2 linked regions of the Bombyx mori genome follow. The main gene of each other region encodes a partner of the protein of the gene in region 2 in a complex. Links are inferred from orthologs where the notes say so. Each region holds a gene or a part of one and is shown on either strand. Other genes may lie near its edges.

Evidence for each region.
Region 1: Taf1 (region 2) and transcription initiation factor TFIID subunit 5 share a complex: the UniProt entries of both Caenorhabditis elegans proteins name them as parts of the TFIID basal transcription factor complex. The link is inferred for Bombyx mori from reciprocal best matches to the Caenorhabditis elegans genes taf-1 and taf-5.

The regions. Positions count from the first base shown.
Region 1 is NC_085110.1:9,225,060-9,228,891, forward strand, and holds part of transcription initiation factor TFIID subunit 5, read right to left. Parts: intron 3,802-3,832; coding exon 3,602-3,801; intron 3,066-3,601; coding exon 2,864-3,065; intron 2,762-2,863; coding exon 2,572-2,761; intron 1,606-2,571; coding exon 1,530-1,605; intron 1,457-1,529; coding exon 1,319-1,456; intron 1-1,318. UniProt on the Caenorhabditis elegans protein: The TFIID basal transcription factor complex plays a major role in the initiation of RNA polymerase II (Pol II)-dependent transcription.
Region 2 is NC_085123.1:8,778,444-8,783,058, forward strand, and holds the start of Taf1 (transcription initiation factor TFIID subunit 1), read right to left. Parts: upstream 2,942-4,615; 5' UTR 2,787-2,941; coding exon 2,567-2,786; intron 1,375-2,566; coding exon 1,307-1,374; intron 1,167-1,306; coding exon 937-1,166; intron 687-936; coding exon 572-686; intron 464-571; coding exon 282-463; intron 172-281; coding exon 1-171. UniProt on the Caenorhabditis elegans protein: The TFIID basal transcription factor complex plays a major role in the initiation of RNA polymerase II (Pol II)-dependent transcription.

The sequences.
Region 1 (3,832 bases), on a different chromosome or scaffold from region 2:
ACACTAAATCTTTTAAATCGGACCGGTAGTTCCTGAGATTAGCGCGTTCAAACAAACAAAAAAACAAACTCTTCAGCTTTATAATATAAGTATAGATTCGTTAATACTAAGTTTTAGATATTAATCTTTTCAATTTATTGAATAAAATAACAGCCGATCGTTTAATAGAAAATGATAATATAATAATAATAAAAATAATCTGTAAAGTAGTTAGATCCTTATGAGTTTGCCCATTATAATTTGATAACATTTTTGGGCTCAAATATCTTTTAATTTATTTCCCAATTCCATATTCAAATTATTATAGGGAGTGATTTCTGGTTTAAGTTTAGTGTGTTCTCTGTGTGTTTTCGCATTGTTTGCTTTGAAAAATTTTATTCACAATTCTAGAAAAGTTAAATATCATGTTATTTCCGAATACGAATTATACCGTGGCATCAGTAGAAAAATGGGTACCGCATTAGATAATTGACTTCCATCAGCGATTTTGAGTGACTGAAGATAAATTCAAAATAGTCGAAAATAAGATCTGTAAGATCGTTAAAAGTAGACGTTTCGCGAACAAGTTTGTGTTAACCGAACCACTACAGTTACTAGAAATCCGACTAAGAAATTTCTGTAGGTCCATTACCAATATTATTTCAGTCTTCAATAAATTTTCCATCAAATGGTGTAATTATGTAGCTATAAACAAATTTTTGTTTGTTAGGAAACTGTAATTCATCATAGTCATCGCAAACCTATACTTCAAAAATAGAGACATGAACTGATTCTTTGATTATTTGTAATGTAATTGATTATTTGTAAAGTTTATTCATGACAGACAGAGTGCAAGCTTAACGGTACTTAGCGGTAGGCTGCGGCTTAACTATGCTCCTGGCGTTCCTGACGTCCATAGGCGACGGTAACCACTCACCATCAGGGGAGCCGTATCTGGTCTGCCTACAAGGGAAATAAAAAAGCAATAATACCAAAGTTTCTTTTGGTAACGCATGCATTGTTGGAAAGGGACAGTGCATCACATTCGAAATTTCATTTAATTAACTTACTAGCCGGTTTTAATGATAAGTCATATATCACGAGATCCACGAGATCCCATTCCACGACGCCCTTCCTGCGGCCAATAATCGGAGGCGCTGGCGGGACATTACAAGGAGTAAAATCATGTCGAAGTATAATGGTCACGACCCTCAGCAGTGAGGAAACGACGCGAGGAGATAATATAATATATTTGTAAAATACAGAGCCGGTTCACTGCCCCGTTCAGACTGGGAACTTTGATTCCGATTTCAAAGTTTGTTAAACCGGACCCACGTACCAGTTGTATCCTCAGAGCACGAAAGCAGCATTGTTTTAAAAGGATCAAATGCAACTTTATAAACGGGGCCGGAGTGCCCAAAAAGGTTGCGGCACGTATCACGGTCCTTTTCCTCCATCATCCTCACGAGTACATCACCTAAAAGTAAGCAATTTATTTATATTAGATTAAATCATTTGAAAACAATTATATATTTTAACCAAATTTATACCTGCTTCCCTGTCTATATCTTGTAGTTTTTCTGCAGATTTCATTCCTCGCAGTTTAATGGGAGTCAATGTCCATACCTAAAATATTTTAAATTAGAATATAATTTTGAGTTTTAGGATGAATGAGTAGTGTTTAGGTAGTAATAATTAGAGACAAATTATAATTTGAGAAGATAGTTTCTTTAGAATTATCGATTAGTTTCTCGGATGGTTTTCAATCATTGGGTACCCGAAGATACTTCGATCTATTAGGGGCTGCTCTGAGTCGTGATCTACCATTAATAACTACCCTTACCACAGGGCAATGCTTATCGTAGGGTTTCCACAGCGAGATTTAAGAGTTCATTGTGTCACTCGGCTTTGCCTGGAATTAACTAACTCTCCCTTTCTCAGATTTTTCCCGAGCATTGCGACATGTCGTTAGTATTAAGGCATGTCCCTGAGCCTTTGAGGTAATTAGGAATAAAATATTTAACAACTCTGATTTGAATTTTGCAACGACCTTTTGATGCTTAATTTAAGCCTCGTATACTTACTGTACTTAAATATTATCGTAAAAGCTTTTTAGCATTAAGTGATCTCTGATCTTTACAGTCATGTAGAAAAATATGTACACAAGTGGAAACATGATGAGAGCGTTATATTTACAAGCGGTTACTTCATATTTTACTGGGTTTACAGTTTTGTGGATAACGACCTAGGAATGATCACTGAGCGAGTGTCTTTGTCCTAATGCTCGAAACTTAGATGTGCTTATGTGTTTGATGATGTGTTTTTGACAAATATCTTCTATTCTGTAATAGCTGTCGCTACAATAGTAAGAGTGCTAAATTGGGAAAAACGTGGTAGCATCTCTAGTCAGGTTTTCTTTTTTCAAAAACTTCTCAAAGAAAAAATCTAGTCTTAGGCGATACAGTTCCTTCAAAAGCTCTAATTAAAAATAGCAGCTTCATTCCTATGCTATTTTTTGTTAGTTAGTAAAAAGCATATACCTGAAAATCATAACACATTAAATCAATACCATTCGCTATATACTATGTATACCTTTATGTTTGAGTTATTAAATCCCACAGCCAAAAGGGTGGAATCGTCACAAATATCACAACTAATTGCAGTATGTCCGCTGTTCAGTAATGTATAGAAACAAATAGAGGGCAAGCTGTCTGGTCCTAGCTGAACACGTTTTGATGCTTCTCTGAGTGCTTTGCCTTTCTCTACTTTATCAATTTCTTTTCTAAAATAATAAATTAAAATATGTGCACATAATACTATATTTTTTATTTCACACAATTTCTTTCTAAAAAATTCATAAATTTGCAATCAGTACAAGACTTACAGATCTGGTAGAGGGATCCTGTCATTAGGAGGTGCATTTGGGTCAGATTTTGGTTTCTTCATAAAAAGATTATCTTTTTTCGCTTTTTTCTTTTTTGGTTTGTCAGGGGTTTCTTCTACTTCTTCTTCGTCTTCTACCGGAGCCGGTAGAACTTGAATATCGGGCTCTTTCAGGAGCCCATAATACACTTTGGTGCGATTTTCTATATAATTTAATTTTTTGTTTAATTTAAATTTAAAAAGTTTAATCTTATCATTGTTCTTGTGTTCATTAGGTATTGTCGTTTATATAATTATTTATAATAAAATGTATTCTATTTATTTGGCCTACCTACTTAAGAGTCATTTATTTTTTGGCCCTGTGATGCAATGTCATCATAATGTTATTTACAGTATAGTTACAATTTCATTGAATCAGTGTCACTATTTAAATACCGGAAGAAAAACTGGAGAACAATTGAATGTATAGATGAGTGAACAATGATGATATGTGGCTCTCATGGTGATATGTGGTTATCAGAGCTCATACAAATCAAAGCTTAAATGTCATCACACATCTTAAGACATGAGGTAGAAAAACCAAGTCTAATGTTTATCAGTTGTCTCAACATTAAAACAGGAACTTATTACTGCAGCAGAAAAACGTAGAACGGTGGTACCTACCTATGCAGGTTAATATTTAATGGCTCTCATTCTCATTGGTGTTTATAGTAATTCGATAATTATTCAACATTCTCACCACTTTTCATTGGTTCTCCAAGTACCCCTCCAGCTGTAGCTCGAACTTGTGCTTGAGTTCTTCCTGGACCATCATGGACTTCGATTTGTATATGATTATTTATTATATTTATTATTACTGAGGAATTTTTCTGTTCGTGTAAGTAACGTTTCAGTTGTGAAGATGCATCTCTTGATAACTGAACTGTAAATTTATTTGTGCTGGAAATGAAGAATATATTTAGATGTTTGT
Region 2 (4,615 bases):
TTTAATTTGAATCCGTAGTCAAACCCATCACCTGTCTCTGGTACATTCAACATATCATACCAAACTTGAGCAGGACCAAAACGCCAGTGGGCCGGTGTTGGCCTTTGTGCTTTGTCTCCTGAGCCTAATCCCTTATCGTCATTAGACATCTGTTGATTTTCTTCCATAGGCCTAAAATAAGTGTTATTAAATTTATTTTTAAATCATTAATTTAAGGATACATACATAAGAGAGTAAGCTATTGATAAAGAAAATGCTGTTTTAATCTTCAGTATATTTACTTGAGAAGTTTCTCTTCATCGTCACTTGCATATTGAGGTTCCTGACTGTCTGGAACCATCGGTGGTGTGTCACTGCCTGTACTTCCACTGCGCTTTCGACGTCTACGTTTTTTAACACCGCGCCATATTTGCGGTAAGCTGGACAGTTTTCCAGGTCCAAAAAGTCGAGAGAAAAGAAGTACCTACATGAATATTTATCAAATAAAATTTCATGAAAACAGCAAATAAATAACATTTATTAGCTTGAGAATTCAGCTCTTGTTAATATTTAAAAACAACATATTACTCACTCTATCTGGTCTGAAATCCGGAAACAGTTCTGTGACATCAACATTGGCATATTTAGATGGAAGCATTGCAGCCAATGGAGTATCTAGTTTTTTGGGTTTTTCTTGTTTGGGGGGTCTGTAAAACAATTAATTTTCATTTTATTTTAATGTCATATTGTATTTCTGTATTTACCAATATCTACTAAATTAAATTTTGATTACGAAATAGGCAACATATTGGTACTTACATATAAGCCATTAATTTGGTTACATTATATCATACTATTAGCAATTATGCAATTTGTGTTGTCATAAAATGAAATTCTCTATCTAATTGGGTGAATCTGTTCCCTTTTCATTCATAAGTTGGAAAAGAATATACTAACGGAACTGTCGAAGGAGGGGGCATAAGTCCACCATCACCTTCCATATCACCTTCATAGCCATCATCATTGGTACTCTGTACCTCTTGTTCTCCTGCAATATCAGTGTCCCTCCAAGTATCTTCTTTTAATTCCTCTTTAATACTCTGTGAATCAATAATCACAGGAACATTGCTGCTATGCACAGTTTGTACATCTGAAGTATTTTCAAATTTTATCACATTATTTTCTACCTGTAACACCAACATAAATTTATTTCAGAGCTAGTGATTAGTTTTAAAATAATGGTAGGTGTTTAGATAGAATAGATAGCTGTTTAATAGATTAAATACTATGCAATATTATAAGTTGGTTTGTGAAATCAAAAACATACTTTTATATCCTCTGCTGCATCTTCAATGTCAAAAAAGTCCACAGCCGATGGACTTTTCTCATTATAGTCTGATGAAATAAAATAAAGAATTAGATGTTTACCATTGCTGCAATTAATAATGTCTTCAGTTTAAAAGTTAAGTTAAAATTTCAGTTGACATAAGAAAATGTGAGATTAAACCTTAACAGTAGTTTGAACCATACTAAAAGAAACTACTATCTTCTAAGTTTCCTGACTTGGATTTCACTGTTGACTATGTATGATTTATGACTGAAGTTTGCTTACTCACTGCTAATCTATGTGCATATTCTCATCATAAGTGCATATTTCTCATAATACCATTGGTTATCCAATTCAAAACTTTTATATCAGCTACTTAAAGGTAAGGCAAAGGTTCTGCATATTTTTACTAGAAAATAAGCAAGCATTCCATTTCAAGAGTAGGTGATTTCGGCATTTGGGACTTCAAACTGATTTGCCATGTGATGTCTATGTGCATGTTACCATTTAAAAAATGTGCTAATTTACACTAATGAAAAGGTTTCTTAATATCTAATATAGGTTTGAAATATAAAAATCAACAACTATTTGTTTACTATTTTACTTTTTTTTATTTGGCTTTCATTCAATTACCAATACAGCTGTGCACAACCCATTTACTTTTTATATAAGAGTGACGGAGACCCATTTACAGCAGTGGGACAAAATATAGGCCATATTATTTCCTAAGGTTTATACAGTAATAATTTCGACACGAAACTAAATTCAAACTTAGTATAGTGGTTTAGAAGTGAAAACATACAAATAGAGCTAGGTACTTACATACTAATTATAAATTATATATAATTTCGAAAATAATTAAATGACAATAACATTTTTTGCAACATTCTTCTGTAATGAAGCAAAGCCTACTTTCTGCAGCAAGATATTCTGTCTCACTAGTACCTACAAAATCTACATGAAAATCAGGTCAGTACTTCGAGATTTGTGTAAACAGAATGAATAAAATGTGAAAATCCCCAGTTGATATTCTACGACTTCTTTTTAGCTTTACCCCTTTAATTTTATTCATTTAAGGTCCGTAGTGACAATTACAAACACATATTCTAAAGTATTATTACATTTACTGGTTTACTTTCAAGGCATGTTTATTCAAATGTAGTCAAAATTTAGACAAATTTAGTCAAATGTGTCGTCAAATGTAGTAACACACTCAACATCGACAATGCAGAGTCGAAATTGATAAAAAAAAACACTAACCTTTTTCTTCCTCTTCTTTAACTGGTTCCTCAACCTCCAGGACTTCAGAGAGCATAGACCCTAAACCTAAGCGGCTAAGCGATGATAACATTCGCTTCGATTCACCATCTAGCAATCCATCATCTTCTAACTGACCCCTTTCGTCAATATTACCAAACAAGAACCCGGTCAGATCCAAGCCTGAACGGCTGTGGTCACCTTGTTCGTCACTATCACACATGGTTCGAAGAAGTACAATACAATTACATTTCCAAGTTCATAATATTAGTTTAATTAAGATATGTATAATGTTTAATAAGGCTACTCAAGTTGCATTGCAATTTTTTTGTTTCAAATGGTATTATTCTTTATTTATGAGTGTTTGCTGTTTGCCTCGTAGATTTTGACATAGATTTTGAGTTGACATTAAGTTAACAGTAGTAGAAGTTCTATTTTTCTAACTGTAATGGCAAAGGTATCAAACCATAACGACTAATTGTTTATTTCCTTTTCTTATGAAAAATGATAATACAGAATGAAATAAAAAACAAAGTTGATTAATTTGAAACATTAATCAATTGGTATGAAATTAAATTAAATGAGATGAGATAACATAGGATGAAGTATAATCTCAGTAAAATGGTGGATAATAATTATTGAAACTTTTTCAGTGGACATTTTGGAAGATCCCGAAAAGCTACGTCCATCGGCTTTGTTTCATTTTCCCACATTTGTGCACTTTTACAGATACTAAAAGGTTAATAAGCCACCGTTATTACAGATTTAAACCTGAAGAAACACTAAATAGACAAAATAAAACAATTCACACAACTTCGCTTCTCGCGTTCCCGTCAAAAAGTCGAGACAACTATAAACTCCAGTATCAAAAATGTTTGATTGATTCACTAAATTGGCAAAAAAATTAATACTCATAACAATAATTTATTAATTATTATAATTTAAAAAAATAAGCCGACACCAATGTTCCTTGCCCAGTAAAAAAGTTTAGGTATAAAATGAAATTAAGGAATAAAATTGAATGTTTTGTGGAATTAAGTAAGTGAGATGGAATAAAGTAATAAATTTTTGGAAGAGCTCGAAAACCACATCTTAGACTTTTATAGAAACAATACGATTAAGAACCTACATAATCATCTGCCTTTATCTCTCCACTGCTGGATGTACGCCTCCCCATAGTCTGCCATAATGAACGGTCCTCCGCCTTCCGCATCCAATCTTCTCCAGCATATCACCGTAAGTCTTCGGTTCACAGGGAAGCGGGACGTTCAGCACTGCGCTTCCGGGTATGTGGTATCGGGTATCGGTCATTGGGTCTGCGATACGTATATCCGGCCTATTGCCACGTCAGCTTTGCTAATCTTTAGGGCTATACCGGTTACTTTGGTTCTTCGACGGATTTCCTCATTTCTGACTCGATCCATGAAAGAAACTCCGAGCATATCCCTTTCCATAACATGCTGTGTGACTTTGAACTTACGAGTCAGACCTACGGTCAATGTCCACGTTTGAGCGCCATATTATGTCATGACCGTTAGCACGCAATCGTTGAAGACTTTCATCTTTAGGCTTTGCTGGTTTGCTGAGTTAAAGATATGACAGAGCTTTCCATACGCAGCCCAGCCCAACTGTACGCGCCTATCAGCTTCCTTCTCGAAGTTGGCCCTGCCTAGATAAAAAATTTGGCCAAGATGGTGTATTCAGACACAACTTCGAGTGCCGCGGATTCGACAGAGAAAGAAGAAATAATATTTAATAATAAACCGAAAGAAATAATAAACAACCACATAAAATAAAATATCTCGCGTTCTTATCATTGCTGTTTCAATTAATTTCTTTAATTCTATTGCTCAATACAGTTCATAATTTAATATAAGGTAAGAGGCGAGTAGCAAGTTCGCAAGCAGGCTACTAGAAAAAAAGCAAAGTACACTACGTAGGTACCGTCAAGCTGACAAAACAAAAAATCAGCATCTATATACAAAATAGTTGTAATAATTATGTGTCATTTAATTTTAACACAGATTTACATATTTGAAGCAACTATTAATG